Oreochromis niloticus: one gene and its partner. The protein of the gene in region 1 purifies or fractionates together with the protein of each later gene. This does not show direct contact. Links are inferred from orthologs where the notes say so. Each region holds a gene or a part of one and is shown on either strand. Other genes may lie near its edges.

Region 1 (8,003 bases):
TTAGCACAGCAAGCTCAGCATAAACACCCTGATCACAGGGAAAACGAGTGCATGTTTTTCACCTCTTTTTCCACATTGATGTAAAACTGGCGGATGCCCTCAAGTGTCAGCTCCTCCTTCTTCACGAGGATTCTGATAGGCTCACGCATAAACTTCTTTGTGACCTCCAAAACATCGGCTGGCATGGTGGCAGACAGTAGGACAACCTTAAAGAGATTTACAGAGATATCTGTCAGCTACAGGCCCTTTCCATACTTCAAGCCAGGACCTTTGACTCGGCCGTTACAGCGCTGACACGAGTGTTCTCCAACCTGGATGTTGCTCGACAGCTTCTGGAAGATCTCGTAGATCTGATCCTTGAATCCTCGACTAAGCATCTCATCAGCCTCGTCCAACACAAACATTTTGATGTATTTAGAAGCTGCAAAAAAAGGAACATGTTACACATCATATGGGCACATAACACATTCAGTTAAATCCATGTTTGCACACAGATACAATGGAACTGTGTTTAGGAATCACGTGCCACTAATGAGGTTTCAGTAATGAAGTGTCTTCGGGTGTAAAGGTGCCGTATTCAGAAGTAATGAACGTATGATCATGCCTCTGGGACCCTGCTGTCATGAAAGCTCGAGCCAGCAGAACGCCGACCAAAGCGACACCACAGCAGGGACGTACAGTGTCAGCTGACACGCATGGGTTTCATCATTATACAGCACTTATCATATACAAGCAGGAACAGACACAGGAAGGAAGACTACAATGTGGGGTGAAAGCGATAACTGACCTCTGAGGTGATCATAGTGACCAAAGAGACTAATGTTCTTTCCTTATAGTAACAAAATTTCAAACAAAGTAGGATTTAACTCCCTCTCACGAAGACTTACAAAGGTTTTTGCGAGTTAGCATGTCAAAGACGCGGCCGGGAGTTCCCACCACGATGTGTGGGGCTTCAGCCTGCAGTTTCTGGACCTCACTGCGGATGTTGGTCCCTCCAATGCAGGCATAGCAGCTGGCGCCCATGTAGTCACCCAGGGCAAGGACCACTTTCTGAATCTGGAGATTGAGTCAAAGACCAGACATTAAGCCATGCAAAAGGCTATATGAGAGATGCTATTGCACAATATGTCACAAGTGTTGGGAGAGGCTGTGTGGAAGCCAACCTGCTGAGCCAACTCCCTGGTGGGAGCCAAGACCAGAGCCTGAGTGCCTTTCAGCTCCACATCAATCTGCTGAAGGATGGAAATGGCAAAGGTGGCAGTCTTCCCAGTGCCAGATTGGGCCTGAGCAATCACATCGTAACCTGAAATTAAAACATGTGCAATTTAGTATCCAGGGAATTCTTGGAAATGTTAACTGCTAAGTAGTATTAGAAACAGACAGTATCACATATTGAAAGCACTCTTACCCTTGATACAAGGCATAATGGCCCTTTGCTGGATAGCTGAAGGTTTCTCAAAACCATAGGCATAAATTCCCCTGAGCAGGGTCTCCCGTAGATTCATCTCATCAAAACTATCCACAATCTGGTTCCAATTGCTCTGGAAAGGTTAGAAAGAGTCCCACATAGGTCAGTTAACTACATTCTGAACCTACTGCTGTGAAAAGAACATCAGTGTTTGTGGGAGTTTCATATGAGACACTTACCTCAATGATCCCATCTGGCTCCATGCCTTCAGGGCCATTGTCTCTGTGAATGACAGAAACTCACGGTTATCATTGCTTTCCAGCTACACTTGTAAATGACCATAATGAACTAAATCCCCTCTGCCCACGAATAATGATAATAAAAATAAAATCTTCTGTAGCACAAAAATATCCCCCTTTAAGTATACGTGCTGATATAATCATTACCAGGCTCCACGTTATATCATTCTTCCCAAACTTGGCGTGAAAAAAGAAGCCTTCGCCCCTTGTGCTGTGACGCGAGGCCTTGTGGAGAGGCCGCCATTTTTGCTACATACAATCAAGATGGTCGTTTCTCCATTCAGGGGAGGAAGAGTCAGGGGCGGGAGGACGCTTTACAGAGGAAACGCCGCCACGTCGAATGTGGCCGACTAGTCGACAAACTCCGACATCTTTGTGTTCAAAGCGAACGGATCGTTTAGAGTTAACCGCGATGCTAAGAGGAAAGCGGTAGAAGAAGCCTCGCGGCTTGCCGCCGAGGCCTGCTCCGCATTAGCCATTAGCAACAGGGCCTGCTAGTCTGTAACTGACAAAGTCGGCGAAAGCAATTGTTCATTTAAACGCGTAAGGCACAGCGCTTTGTGAAGGCAGCGTACAGCTCCACCACATGCAGCGCGTGTAAGCGGAAAAACGTCCATTTTCAGCGGCCTTAAAGCGGCCTTTGTTCAAAACGCCGACCATCCGTACTAAGACCATGTGACTCCACCGAACACCACGAAACAGCATTAATCCACCTTTACAGACAAAATAAGGTCAATCAGGTGTATTACACCCGAAAGTGTCGTAGTTCCGATCTTTTGGCTTCAATATCAAGTTACTACAAATGAAAAGAGGAAGAATTTTTAAAGGCCTACACCAGGCTTGTTCACGTGCTGTCGCCGGATGCCGATAACGACCGCAGTCAGTATTCACATCTGAAGCATTAAGACTAATATAACTTCTGACTAGCATGACTTTAACGATCTAAAACATTAAATCTTATTTCACACTCGTCTCCTGAAACGCGAAGAGTCCTAATGTTCATCTAAGACAAAAAGTCCTCGAATGTTACTCGACTACAAAACTCCGTTAAAAATGTGCATTCTTGAGAACATCGAGTAAAAATATGACGGATTGAAAGTGAAAATAAGCCCTAGAACTCACAATTTATGCGACCAAAAGTAGCCTTCCTTACCTGTTATCATATTCAGCCGACATTATTTCAAAGAAAGAATCCGCAGCAGAAATCTCTTATATAGGTTATGCGCACAAAGAGGCTTTCTCATTGTAAAAGCTCACCGTCACTTAGCTGTGGTCCCGCCCACAGGCATTTGCGATTGGACGAGCTCTACGTCATGTAAAAGTAAGCAGACCCATGGGGCGGACCGTTTCGTTTACAGTATGCTCGTAATTCACGCTCGTGCCCGAGTTCTTTAGCCAAAGAGGCGGGGTTTCAGTTTTTACGGAATCCGTTGGTGACGCAACCGGGTTTCTTCAGTCCGCCTGCCCAGGTGTGTCCCCGCTGCTTTCCTCAGACATTTACAAGCGCCGAATAAAAAATAAATGCAATTTTTTAATTGGGTCATGTAATGTCTTAATGTTCCAGCATCACGTTGAGTATTTACAGCCTATCAGAGATGAGTCTTGTGCGTAATATGCATGGATCACTCAACACACTGCTCTTTAAATGTATTCATACTCTATCACGGGAAAGAGTTAGGGTTAAAAATAACTATTTCTGTTGATTATCTCAATTTTTTTACTGAATCTGGATGATGGAAAAATCTGATGAGAGTGCAGTAGGTTAGTTCCATAAATGTAAATAAATAAATAAATAAAGCTTGAAAAACACATTTATATAATAGTACTTTTTAAGGCTTTAGAGAAACATGTGAAACAAACCATAACCACAAAATGACACCATGAAATTAAACTGAACATTGTCCCAGTGACAATAATGTGGCATCTGTACCTGGTTTAGAACTTCTCTCTTTCTAAGTGCCATGTCTTATCATGTATATGAAGAACTACCATGACCGTTTCTAGTCTCTACATGTGCTGAGAATCATTCAGATATTTGCTCTGAAATTAGGTTTTATTACTTTCGTTTAATGTGTTTTTTATTTCTGGATCTAATATTCTGTCTCTCTCCATTAAAATTAAACTACCATAAACAACTAGCCTGCTAATTTCTTTGTGAGCAAAATTTCACCCACTTTCTACACAGATCGATGCATTTTCTTGGTGGATTCTCTCATCAGATATGAACTGCTTTTCTGTATGGGGCCGATTTTGACTTCACATCATGTGGACTGCAAAAAAAAAAGCACTTGGGTTTTGGTTTTGGCTTGTTCTCTTATATCGGTGCTTATGTATTGTCTGAGTGTCGACACCTATCACTCAGGAAAATACTGCAGAGGCTTTCTTCACTTTAACAGCCGTTAGAAAGGGACTGTGAAAAGGTGTTGTGGCAGTGATCGAAGCGCCCATTACAGCAGGTATCAGTGTGAAAGGGTCTGCAACCATCCCCTCTGCAAACAAAGAGCTGGCTGAAAACCTGATACTGCAGGTTAATGAGGGACGCATTCAGACCCCTCACCCACCACATCCTGATAGTAGTCACTGTAAGGCCCCCTTTGTACTTTGTGGATGATGCAATCAATATAGGACTGCATTATATCCTATAATATCCAACTGTGCAAAGACTTATGCAGTTAGTAGAGTTTAGCGGCATGTTCAAGACCGTCAGCAGTGCACCCCAGCTTCTCCGGAGAAAGGAAACAGCATTGGGGAGAGTCTGGTTTGGTGCAGCCACAGCGCAGTAAGAACCTTGTTCAGAACTGAGATCACTATTACGAGGAACAAACCACAATGTGACGAGCTGAAGAAATGATCTAAGAAGACCTCTTAACAAAAACAAAACAGAGATCCTCTTTTTACTTTACTTTTTTATGAAACCCAAACATATTACCACAATTACTAACAGAGACACAGGAAAAAATGAAATGCAATGTAAATATAGTTATTTGAGCCAACAGGTCATTTCAATTCAATCTCCCACAAGCTGTTTGAGACTTGAAAGTTTGACTAGGACTAAATTACACCTGCAGAGCTTGTGGGGTGTTCCCTGTTTGCAGTGGTCCAAGGGAGAAACAGTGGGAAGAAAAGCTGATATGGAACAGTGCATCGCAGTGGAGACTGCATAGCTGTCTGTATCTGTGTGGCTGTTAAACACACTCTTTCAAGAATGCCAATGTCCACATTTTGGACAAAGGTTTGAAAGAGGAGTGAACGACCCTCTTTGAACACCGACACCGTCTGCCATCTACGATCGAGCTTTGAGATCCTTCCCGGACGCCTTAACTCACATCCTGGGCCTTTTGACCTCAGTAAGTCACATGATGGGGGGCAAGGTCTCACAATGGGTTCACCCGAAACCTTGGCTGACCCGTTTTCACACCTTGGCTCATGTGATTATGCAGAGAATCAATAGAGGGTCAACAGCCCTCTTAAGGACAATAGGGCTTAAAAATGTGGGACTGACTCTCAGACGAAACGTCTTCAAGAAACTGAAAGTAGTCCTTCCATTACTATGATCTGGACGAGTCAAAACTTACACACACACACACACACGTTTGCCACATATTTTTATTTTTAGCAGTCATAACGTATTGTAGAAGATATATAAAACAGCTCTCTTGCATCAGCTCCTTCTTGGGAAAAAAAAAAGCAAAGCCAAAAACAACTATTCACAAATTTTCTTTTGTTATAAAAAGAATAAGAGAGCACTGTATCTCCACTGTGGACATATTATGCCTGTTGTGTATTTGTGGTCCTCAACAAAATGGCTTTTTCAAAGAAATACTAACCAGAAGATCTCTAAATGAAAAAATAATAATAACAACAACAAAAAAAAGAAAGTCTTTTTTCTTGATTTTTTTTATGAAACCCAAACATATTACCACAATTACTGACAGAGATAAAACACGTTAAAAAATTAAATGCATTGTAAATATACTTCTTTGAGCCATTTCAGTTCAATCTCCCACAAACTGTTGAAGGTTTATGACTTGAAAGCGATCGAGGGGGGAAAGTCTCTATTGTGTGGGCCAGTATGAGGTGGGATTCATGGATGCTGCAGAAATCCAACTTTCCCTGAGATTCACCAGAAAAAAGTTTTACCTGCAAACATAACCATGCATTCCCACTGAACTCCAGCTGAGCAGGCTGCAGGAAAGGATTACAAATATTGTACATGGAAGTTTCACACTGTAATACACTGGAAAACATTTTGTGCTGAACAGCTCGTCCATATTGGTGGCCACAGCATGGGGTACGTTTCATTTTGCAAAGATGTCAAGTAATGACTGGCTGGATGGAAAAGTCACTGCAGCCCTCTAAACACAAACTCCACTGTGGGACTTCCTTTCATACTTCCTGGACGCAGGCTTTTCCGTACCTCAGTGCTCCCTCTCCGACCAGAAAACTAGTGGACTATCTTTACACGGATAACTAGCCCATCCCCAAAATAAGATGGCTAGTCTTGGCCTCTCACAACCACAAAGAACTATGACATGATATTTAAATCAGTGTTTTTCAAACAAACCGAGGGAAGCAAAACCAGAAAAAATAAAGTCAAACAATGTTCGCATCTAGAAGAATTTCTCTGCATGGTGGAAGAGAAAAAGTTAGGTTTGTAATGTTTATTTTCCCCCAGTCACTTGCTCCCATTTTCCTCTTGTTTTAACACTGTCCCTCCATCCTGTTAGATTTCAGGGACGGAGCAGGTGTAGCTGGCCACAAAGGATGGAAAGTAAGGGTCACACCATAAGCTTGCAGTGACACAGTTCTTTGTACATCTGTCTTCTGAGGCGGGGCATGTCCTGCTGCCCAAAGCTGAACTGCTGCCCGAGTGCCAGACACTTGCAGTACTGCAGGATAGCAGAAAAGGAAGGGTCAGGGTTAGATTCAGATACTGAAACACATTTAAAACAACCTGATGTGTGGCAGTTACCATCTATGCAGTAGGTACATGTGTTCCCCTCATAAATGCTATAAAGAAGTGAAACTGAGGCTAATCCAAACTGTCCACGGCTAGCTCTCAACAACAGGAGTTCGTGTTTATATTAGGGCTGGGTGATATATCGAGTATATTCAATGTATCGCAAGTTTGTCCACGTACGATGGTTAAAATGCTTTTATCGTAACCATCGAGTGTAGGTTCCCGCACGCTGCAAATGCATCATCAATCCCCCCTCCTAGCTGGAAAATTTTCTACCCGCCACACTGCGCTGAGCATGCGTGTTTATATGCTACCAGATGGGGAATAATATGGCGACAGTGGGAGTTTCAGAGTCGCTGTCGTTTGGATTTCACGAGGAGGATGTCGAACAACACGAACGAACTCGGCATGTCAGCATCTCCCCACACACCAAGGGAAACGTTAAATACACCAGCTGTGATTTGAGCTATGACGGCTATTGTTGAGAGAAACAGAGTCCATGTTATTGTTTATCGTTCCTGAAGCATATTCGTGGCCGCCTTCTGCTGCTGGCTCAGTTCATTTTGGTAAGAGAGTGATGAAACCTCTGCTGTTAGACAATGTGACGTTTGCTTACATGAAGCCGAGTGAGTGTTTGGCTTCGTTGTTTGTGTTTAGGCACATTTCGCAAAGTGACGTAACTGCTCTTTTAATTGTTGTTTTGGCTGTTTGCAGAAATGGTTTCTATGAGCTTGTGGCTGAGACTTGAAAGTTTCATTGGATACCACACATGTCGATATTTACATAAAAAACTTAAACTGCAGCCCACCCCCTTTGCTGCTCAAGATGTATCAATATATATCGTGTATCACGATACAGCCCCCAAAAATGTGGCGGCATTAGATTTTCTTCATATCACCCAGCCCTCATTTATATGCACAATGCAGAAAACTCACCTGTAACACAAAAGCCCCACAGTCACTGTCATTGTTCTGGCGGCCCACATTCTGCAACATTACAAATACATTAGCATTAGCAATGGTACCAATTCAACTAAAGTCTGCTTCTCGTATCATTTTTACTTAAAGTCTCACCAGAGCTTTGTTAAGTGGTATAAAGAAAAATCCTTTTACCATTTTGAAAAAGCCGGTCCATCCTGTCAGGAAGTCTTGCTGGTCTTTTTTGATGGCTTCAGCTTGCAGGTATTTGTAAATGTGCTGGAATCAAAATGAACACATTCAAAGACACTGCAGCAATTTCCAAAAACAGAGATTCTGACTTTGAGCAGTATATTCATGGATGACAATGAATGGACTTCTTGAATAGACTATATGTGTGACAGCCCGTCCTCTCCTAT
Region 2 (7,620 bases), on another chromosome or scaffold:
AATTTAACTTTGACCAGTGTAAAAACAGGTTGAGATATTCAGGTTACTGACGCCATCTGCTGGATGGTTTGGGATTCTTAGTTCCAAATAATGAAAGCAGTGACAGTCCTTCAACATACAGTGATACTTTAAGACAACAGTGTGTTACGACCACAGTCTGGGGAGAGATATTCCCTGCTATAGCAGGCGACAGGACCTGGCTTTGTGCGCTATGGAAAAACTTGACTAACTCCAACTTTAACCACATCCATCACCTTTACAACGAACTAGAAATGTAACTCTAAGCTAGATCTTACACACGTCAGGATATTGACCCAACCCAGTGTAATGGGATGAGAGCCAGGGCGCATCCATATTAGAGCAAACACAGAGAAACAGACACACATTTTAATTCACACCTACAGCCAGTTTAGGTGTGAATCAAAGCAGCTGTACAAATCTCTGATAGTTGTGATCATCTTACATCTGTGAACAAAAACACACACAAACTTACAGTGGGATCAGAATCAGGATTGTCCAGATACTGTATCAGGAGTGTGAACACGTCAGTCAGCTTGCCATTCGCTCCTGAAACACAAACAGAAACATAAATTAACTCAGCGTGTTCCTTTAACATTTGGTTTTCCTACATATGCCATATACTACTTTTGTAGAAGTATCTTACAGATGAAAAACTCATCACTTTACTTTTAATACATGCACTGAAGGTCTTTATATCCTCCATAAAGAAACTTGTTTGTTTTCAGTATTCCCTTTTAGTTTCATTCATGTAATATGGATTCTAACTCTAATGACAGCTTTACCTGGGCTGTTACTGACAGCTGTCAGAGCCTCTAGAGCACATTTCTGAACTTTCCCACTGCCAATGACATTCCTGAAAACTTCACTACAGCCAGCGGACGAGGAGAACGAGTCGCCACTGCAGATCCTCAGTAACGACAGAATTCCAGACACGATTAAATCCGGAGCGCAGGGGAGGCAGTCAGGATCCTGTGGGAGAGAGGGAGATTATAAGCCTTTCCATGTGTTAGAAAAAAAAGCTAACACCTTATAACACGGCCTGCGACTGAGGGCTTGTTACTTCTATCATTCAGATTTTATCAGAAATTACAATGTAATTATGTTTACATACAGCTACTTAATGCTAGGTACACAAGTGTACAGTACAGGAAAGAATTATTATTATACATGTTATCCCCTTATTCTAGTGTGCCTGGCTTTAATTGTGTGTATGTAAATATAATTACATTGTAATTACAAATAAAATACCCTAAAAAGTCTATTTTATTACAGAGGAATTAAAAATTATAAAGTGTTAACTGAAAAAGATCCAATATTTACTTAGCCACTCTCTCCTGTCCTTACACTCACCATGTGTGCGATCTGAGGTGTGTTTGTTAGACACACACTGATCATGGAGATGCAGGAGGTTTTGCTCTTCAGCTGCTCAGTCATGGCAAACCGATGCATGTCTCCTACAGGCCCAGATCTCATGTTACTCCATAGCATAAATGCAAGATAACACAGATTTTTCTCAAGAGTGTACGTCTTTGTGGGTCACCTGCAGTGTTTGTGCCTAGTAGGTTCTGGCCAGATATGATGTCGAGGGGTAGCAGCAGTAATCTCACAGACTGAGCTGTGTGGACACGGTCACTGCACATAAAACCAGAAGAAAAGGAACAATATTTTGTAGACAGATACTATAATGACAAATCCCCATGGGTTTTTAACAGAAAACCCAACCTCTACAGACGTTCGTGTACAGAGTTTGTGTTGGCTGAAGAAGCTGTGCTTACTGATGGCCGCCGCGGAGAAAAGCAGCTGCAGCATGGACGAGGTCAGCAGGTTTCCTGGCGTTCAACATGAAAGTTAAAAGACGGGTGATGCGTTGGTCTGGGAGGCGGCTGCAGAAGCAAGCACAGCAAGAGTCTATAAACTAAACCTGAACAGCAGCACAGTCACTAATGTATACTTAAAAACAACCACTAGGTAAATGCTGTGGATGATGGCTGACCATTACACTGTCCTGTGGTATTGCATAGATCAATAGAACAAAGCCATCGATGCTATATCTATTAGCAGATTTGCATATTCAGCCAGGAAGCTCCACTGTCCTCACCTTCCTCTTAAAGTCACTACTTAAAATCCAAATAATCTCTAGTAGAGACAAAAAAGGACAGACAACTCTATAAAGCGACACTCTCCTGTGTTTTATGAGGGGTTTACCTGCATGCAGCTAGAATGACATCCATCAGAGGCAGTGTGAGTTCACAACAATCTGCTGCCACCATTTCTTCCAGAGAAGCTGTGACTGTCTGCAGCAGCTTGTCCCGCAGAGGAGGCTTGGTCTGGCCCAGGAGCAGAGCCAGCAGTCTGAGAGTCTGCTGACACTGATGAAGCTGTGTGCTTCCCTTGGGAACCCCCAGCGCCCTCTTGAGGTACTCTGAGATTGCATCGACAACAGCGGTGCAATCTTGGTTTATTTCCATGGGCTCGGCTGGGTTTTCTACAACTGCTTTGGACGCACGTGTGTTCTGCTCATCTTCCTTCTTATCGGTGCCATTACATCCTACAGATGAGACAGGCTGACAGAAGAGCAGGACGTGGGCGAGCATTTGATTGGCAGCTGAGGCAACAAATAGGCTTGTGTCTGTCTGGAGTTGCAGAAGTGGCTCAATGAAATCTAAAAAAACCAAACAAATATAATACATATATATGAGGATGCATCAGAATTACAACAATATAATACCTATAGCACAGTGCCTCTCGCCCTATGGCAGCTGGGAATGATCCAGCCCCCAGTGACCCTGAATTTGATATGCAGGAGCAAACAAATGAAAGGACGAATAGAAATAGCATATTATCCTTAATACTAATGATCCCCCCCTCATGAATCGATGCAAAAAACTCACCTGCTTGTATAAAGAAACTAAGACCATTTGGATGCTGCAGTGTGGTCCTTAAGCCCTGGATCCAGCCAATCCGTATGCAGGGATCCTCCCAGAGCCCTAACTCCTGCCAGTGCTTACAGCTAAAGACAAGATCCAGAACTAAGGACTCCTGCAAGAGAGAGAGGGAGGCACAATGATAGGGCAGATAAGCATTGGAATATTTTGTAACAGTTTACTAAATACACCAGGCGTCAGAAGCTCTACCTTAAGAATTCTGAAGGCGTCCTCAGCAGCAGCCAATAAGCCGATGAGTCTGAGAGTGAAGGAGAGGACACCTGGGGCTGAAGCCGTGTCATGAATCACAGCAGATATGAACTCAAGCAGACACGGACAGGCCTCCAGCAGAGACTCCCCTTCAAAGAGTGAAAGAAAAGAAAAACAAGGATACAGATTTACACGGGATCACTTTTTTATGTGCACCATAAAGAGAAATGATAAAGGTACAAAAGACATGAAAAAGGAACATTTTAAATTTAAATTTATCTTTATTAATGCAATATAACATATATATAAGTATCTTTGAGTTTTGGGATCTTTTACAAAATGTAAATGTTATCTGCAAATATCGGTGATATAATCTGAGTAATAATCACCTACAAATACAGTGATTCGCTGCATGGTATTAAGTTTAGATCAGTTCTCTGGAGAATGAGGGCTCTTTAAAACACACCTTTCAGCTTTTCATGTATTTTGAAGCTGGTTTTTTTTCGGAGAACTGGAATGTAAATGTGCTTGTCTCTGTCTCAGCTTGTGTCGTTCAAATATGCTATAGGCTTTAAATCAAGCAGAAGTGACAGTCAACACAAAAAAGACAGTCATCACATGTTTGTTTCATTTACAAAATATTTGTTATTCAACCCAGGTCAGAGGGTTACACACTGAACTTAGAATATAGAAATAAAGTATCGATTAGATGGTATCGATACTTTTAACAATATAATATTTGAATTGATCCTCCTATTAGAAAGATAGTGGGAGAGGAGGAAGAATAAAGACACGATCCTGTTAGGGTCAGTACTACTAACCAGCCTCGGTGAGCGCTGTGAACCAGTCCAGCAGTTTCTCCAGAATGGTGTCATCGGGCAGCGAGCTCCCTGAGGCCGCCAGCACCTCACAGACCCGGGGCAGCAGTGACACACACTCTCTGTCCATGGGGCTAAGGTGTGCGTGTTAATAACCGCCGTTGCTAGCTTAGGTTTTTACAGCTAGGAGTTATATAAAGTCTACACATTATCTAACCACTCATGTGGATGTAAATGTGACCTCTAGCTAAATTATGCAGTACAGACCAAACTGAAGCAGCCACTTTAAACACACAAAGTCGTTGTTTTTTGTACTTTACTAAACGAACGTCTCGCGGGAAACAGTTTCGGATCTACCGGTGCGTCGTTTCCTTTTCCGTGCTTCTGGGCGGGTCTCACGCCGCTGCGCTCTTCGCTGATCTCTAAACATCACTGTGGGGGAAAATTACCACCAGTAGCTGTTGTACTTCCGGTCCCTATGCTTTACAGCTTTACTGCTTCTGCGCAGCCTTTTCACGCGCCTTTGAGGAGGTTCCGGTGTCGCGTTTCCGTCACGTCGTCCATTTTCACGGATCCGCACATGGTGCTGCACCGGCTGAGGATCGCCAGCCTTTTCGTTTTCGGGATTTTTGCTCCGCTGTAGACAAAAGTCCGTGTTGTAGTTCTGTTAAATGAAAGAAACGGTGGATATGGTGGACGACCCCGAGTATGAAGAGGAGGAGCCTTCCTTCAGCGACCCGGAGGACTACGTGGACGATGTGGATGACGACGGTAAGTAGTCACAGGAAAAACGCCGGCTTTCCGGCCTGCTGTTAGCAGTTAGCTAAGAGCTCAATGGTGGGGATGTTTTAGATGCTACAAAGCTAGTTAGCTAGCCTCTCTGGTCACCGGCACGTAGTAATAGTAAATAGTGAACAGTGACCATGAGCTGGATGCATAAGCGTAATTACCAGGAATACAACAGCGACACCACCCTTTTTCTCCAAAAAACTCCCAACATAACGTTATCACAGTGTACTTAACGCCCGTTAAAGCCTCACCCAGACCCCACACAGCCACTCACTGGGGCCTGTGCGATACGATCTGAAAAACCGAAACAGGATTTTAGCTAGTAAAGCCGTTAGGGCACATTATTTTCTCTGTGCTGTTTGCTTATATAAAGTAGTTTAAATGGGGCAGCTGGTTGTAGCTCAATGGTAATCCTAACCCAGGTCTGAGGGGCGTTTGCTCATTAGAGCTTTTCAATTGTGCAAGTTTTGCAGTTGTGGTAAAATGACTCATCAGATACACGTGTTTTGTACTTAGTAGTCACAATATAATTATTTATGTATAGTAGAAACCTTGGGGTAAATTTACAACAAAATTGGTACCATTTAATATTAATTTGCTGAAGTTAAACAAGGACACAAATGAAATAGCTTCTGTGAAGCTAAACACGCCAGCATAGCGGTTCTTTATCCTTATCAAAATGATGTGTATTAAGCAGTGAGTGTAAAGGAGATGTACTATTGAATTAACTTTATTATGATGTAATTATATTTTGTCTACTTATAAATCATGAAGCTTAAACCTGCACATCTCTAAAGAAAATTTAAACAAAAGAATTGTTTGTTTCAACGATGCAGTCTTCCCTTCCAGTAACTGAAGTGGTGGCTATAAAGTTTAGATTGGTTCATGTATATGAAAAGAAGGTCGACATTAAAATGAGATGAGAACCCCAACCCCACACAGTCCTATCAGCTTGTTCATCACCCTGACCCTCCTCCTTCACTTTTCAGAGCTTCTTGATGACATCCTGAGGGAGAAACCCCAGGAGGCAGACGGCATAGACTCGGTGGTGGTGGTGGACAACGTCCCTCAGGTCGGCCCGGAGCGTTTGGAAAAGCTCAAGAACGTCATACACAAGATCTTCTCCAAGTTTGGCAAGATCACGACTGAGTTTTACCCAGAGGCGGATGGTATGACCAAAGGGTATGACCGCAGTTGTTTTCTTCTATGTTCTTTTGTGCATCTATTTTGATTCAAGGTGGATTTCCGGATTTGAAGCAGAGTTTTTGTTTTGTTTTTTAGTAATTGTTTTTTCTCCTCGTTTACAGTTACATCTTCCTGGAGTATGCTTCTCCTACTCAAGCCCTCGAAGCAGTCAAGAACGCAGATGGATATAAACTCGACAAGCAGCACACGTTTAGGGTCAACCTCTTCACTGACTTTGACAAGTGAGTATGCAGTACCACTCAATGCATTGTCCAGGTATTGCTTGCCAGACTTGGAATACAAGTAAATAATCGTACCTTTGTTTTTCTCAGATACATGAACATCAGCGATGAATGGGAAGCTCCAGCAAAGCAGCCTTTCAAAGACTTTGTAAGTGTTACCTTAACTTTTCAGTCATAATATAATGAATCAGTTTATAACACTTAGAATTAGTTTGGCAAAAATAGCTTCATGTCAGCACTTTCATTATTAAGTTGACCTTCATAAATCGACAGGACAGTCTCTATCCTGAAACCGTGCAAGCGACAATAACTCTGTTTGTGTTTTCAGGGGAATATGCGCCATTGGATCGAGGACCCAGATTGCCGTGACCAGTACAGTGTGATTTATGAAGCTGGAGAGAGGACTGCCATTTTCTCCAACGACGCTAAAGAGCCAATCACAGTTGAAGAGAGAGCGGTGAGTTTTTAATTACTCACGCAGAGTTGGTGGGAAATGCAGGGCTCGTATCAAACATGACTGGTCAGTAGTCACTGGTTTGGAGAGTTCTGATGTTTTTCCTGCTTTGATGCAGCGCTGGACAGAGACGTACGTCCGATGGTCTCCTAAAGGTACCTACCTGGCTACGTTCCACCAGCGGGGAATTGCACTGTGGGGCGGCGAGAAGTTCAAACAGATTCAGAGGTTCAGCCATCAGGGTGTGTCCCTCATCGACTTCTCACCATGTGAAAGGTAATCAAAAGTCGACTTTAATCCAAAGAAGCACATTATAGTTATATTATAGAGTATCCCGTTCAAGTGTTTATTCATTAGTGATTTATTTATTTCCTGTAAATAAGGCAACGTCACCTAAATCCTATGGGTTGTTGCACCATGACATGGGGACAGCAAAGGATGATTAATGTGCAGATAAAGCACTCTAAAGAGGTGCCGAGTTGGCCTGTGAGCCACAGTCTGAGCTTAATGTGTGGTTGTGCTGGCTTCCAGGTATGTGGTGACCTTCAGTCCACTGATGGACACCAAGGAGGACCCACAGGCCATCATCATCTGGGACATTCTGACCGGACAGAAGAAGAGAGGGTTCCACTGCGAGAGTTCTGCACATTGGCCTATTTTTAAGTCCGTATTATGCTTTCTCTCTTTTAAATCTAATTTAAATCAAATTTGCTGCTTCTTGCAGAGTTTGGATGTGTCTTCTAATTTTACATGTTTGTTATCAGATGGAGCCATGATGGGAAGTTCTTTGCAAGGATGACACCAGACACACTGAGTATCTATGAAACTCCGGTAAGTAGGCCTGAAAACAGTCTAGATGCGTTTAAATGAAATGTTCAAATGATATTAAAGGTTTATATTTTGTTTTGTTTTTTTCTTCTTGTAGTCTATGGGCTTGCTGGACAAGAAGAGTCTCAAGATTACTGGGATAAAGTAAG

What was found. Proteins that work in one complex are often made in the same cells at the same time.
Region 2: the proteins of eif4a1a (region 1) and eif3ba purify together in Homo sapiens (affinity purification with mass spectrometry; 4 studies listed by BioGRID and IntAct, counting the BioPlex papers as one, with this or other methods). This does not show direct contact. The link is inferred for Oreochromis niloticus from reciprocal best matches to the Homo sapiens genes EIF4A1 and EIF3B.

Annotation. Positions count from the first base shown.
Region 1 is NC_031967.2:1,649,000-1,657,002, reverse strand, and holds the start of eif4a1a (eukaryotic translation initiation factor 4A1A), read right to left. Parts: upstream 3,002-8,003; 5' UTR 2,884-3,001; coding exon 2,861-2,883; intron 1,691-2,860; coding exon 1,648-1,690; intron 1,542-1,647; coding exon 1,409-1,541; intron 1,304-1,408; coding exon 1,164-1,303; intron 1,057-1,163; coding exon 888-1,056; intron 715-887; exon of another isoform or gene 574-714; intron 422-573; coding exon 312-421; intron 207-311; coding exon 63-206; intron 1-62. Other genes in the region: senp3b (sentrin-specific protease 3b), read right to left, coding at 6,486-6,596, 7,603-7,653, 7,780-7,863. UniProt on the Homo sapiens protein: ATP-dependent RNA helicase which is a subunit of the eIF4F complex involved in cap recognition and is required for mRNA binding to ribosome.
Region 2 is NC_031971.2:13,426,085-13,433,704, reverse strand, and holds the start of eif3ba (eukaryotic translation initiation factor 3, subunit Ba), read left to right. Parts: upstream 1-4,605; 5' UTR 4,606-4,644; coding exon 4,645-4,744; intron 4,745-5,751; coding exon 5,752-5,944; intron 5,945-6,069; coding exon 6,070-6,189; intron 6,190-6,279; coding exon 6,280-6,337; intron 6,338-6,517; coding exon 6,518-6,646; intron 6,647-6,761; coding exon 6,762-6,919; intron 6,920-7,174; coding exon 7,175-7,306; intron 7,307-7,407; coding exon 7,408-7,474; intron 7,475-7,568; coding exon 7,569-7,615; intron 7,616-7,620. Other genes in the region: integrator complex assembly factor BRAT1, read right to left, coding at 494-567, 804-990, 1,372-1,475, 1,562-1,653, 1,797-1,904, 2,227-2,683, 2,913-3,060, 3,156-3,304 and 1 more.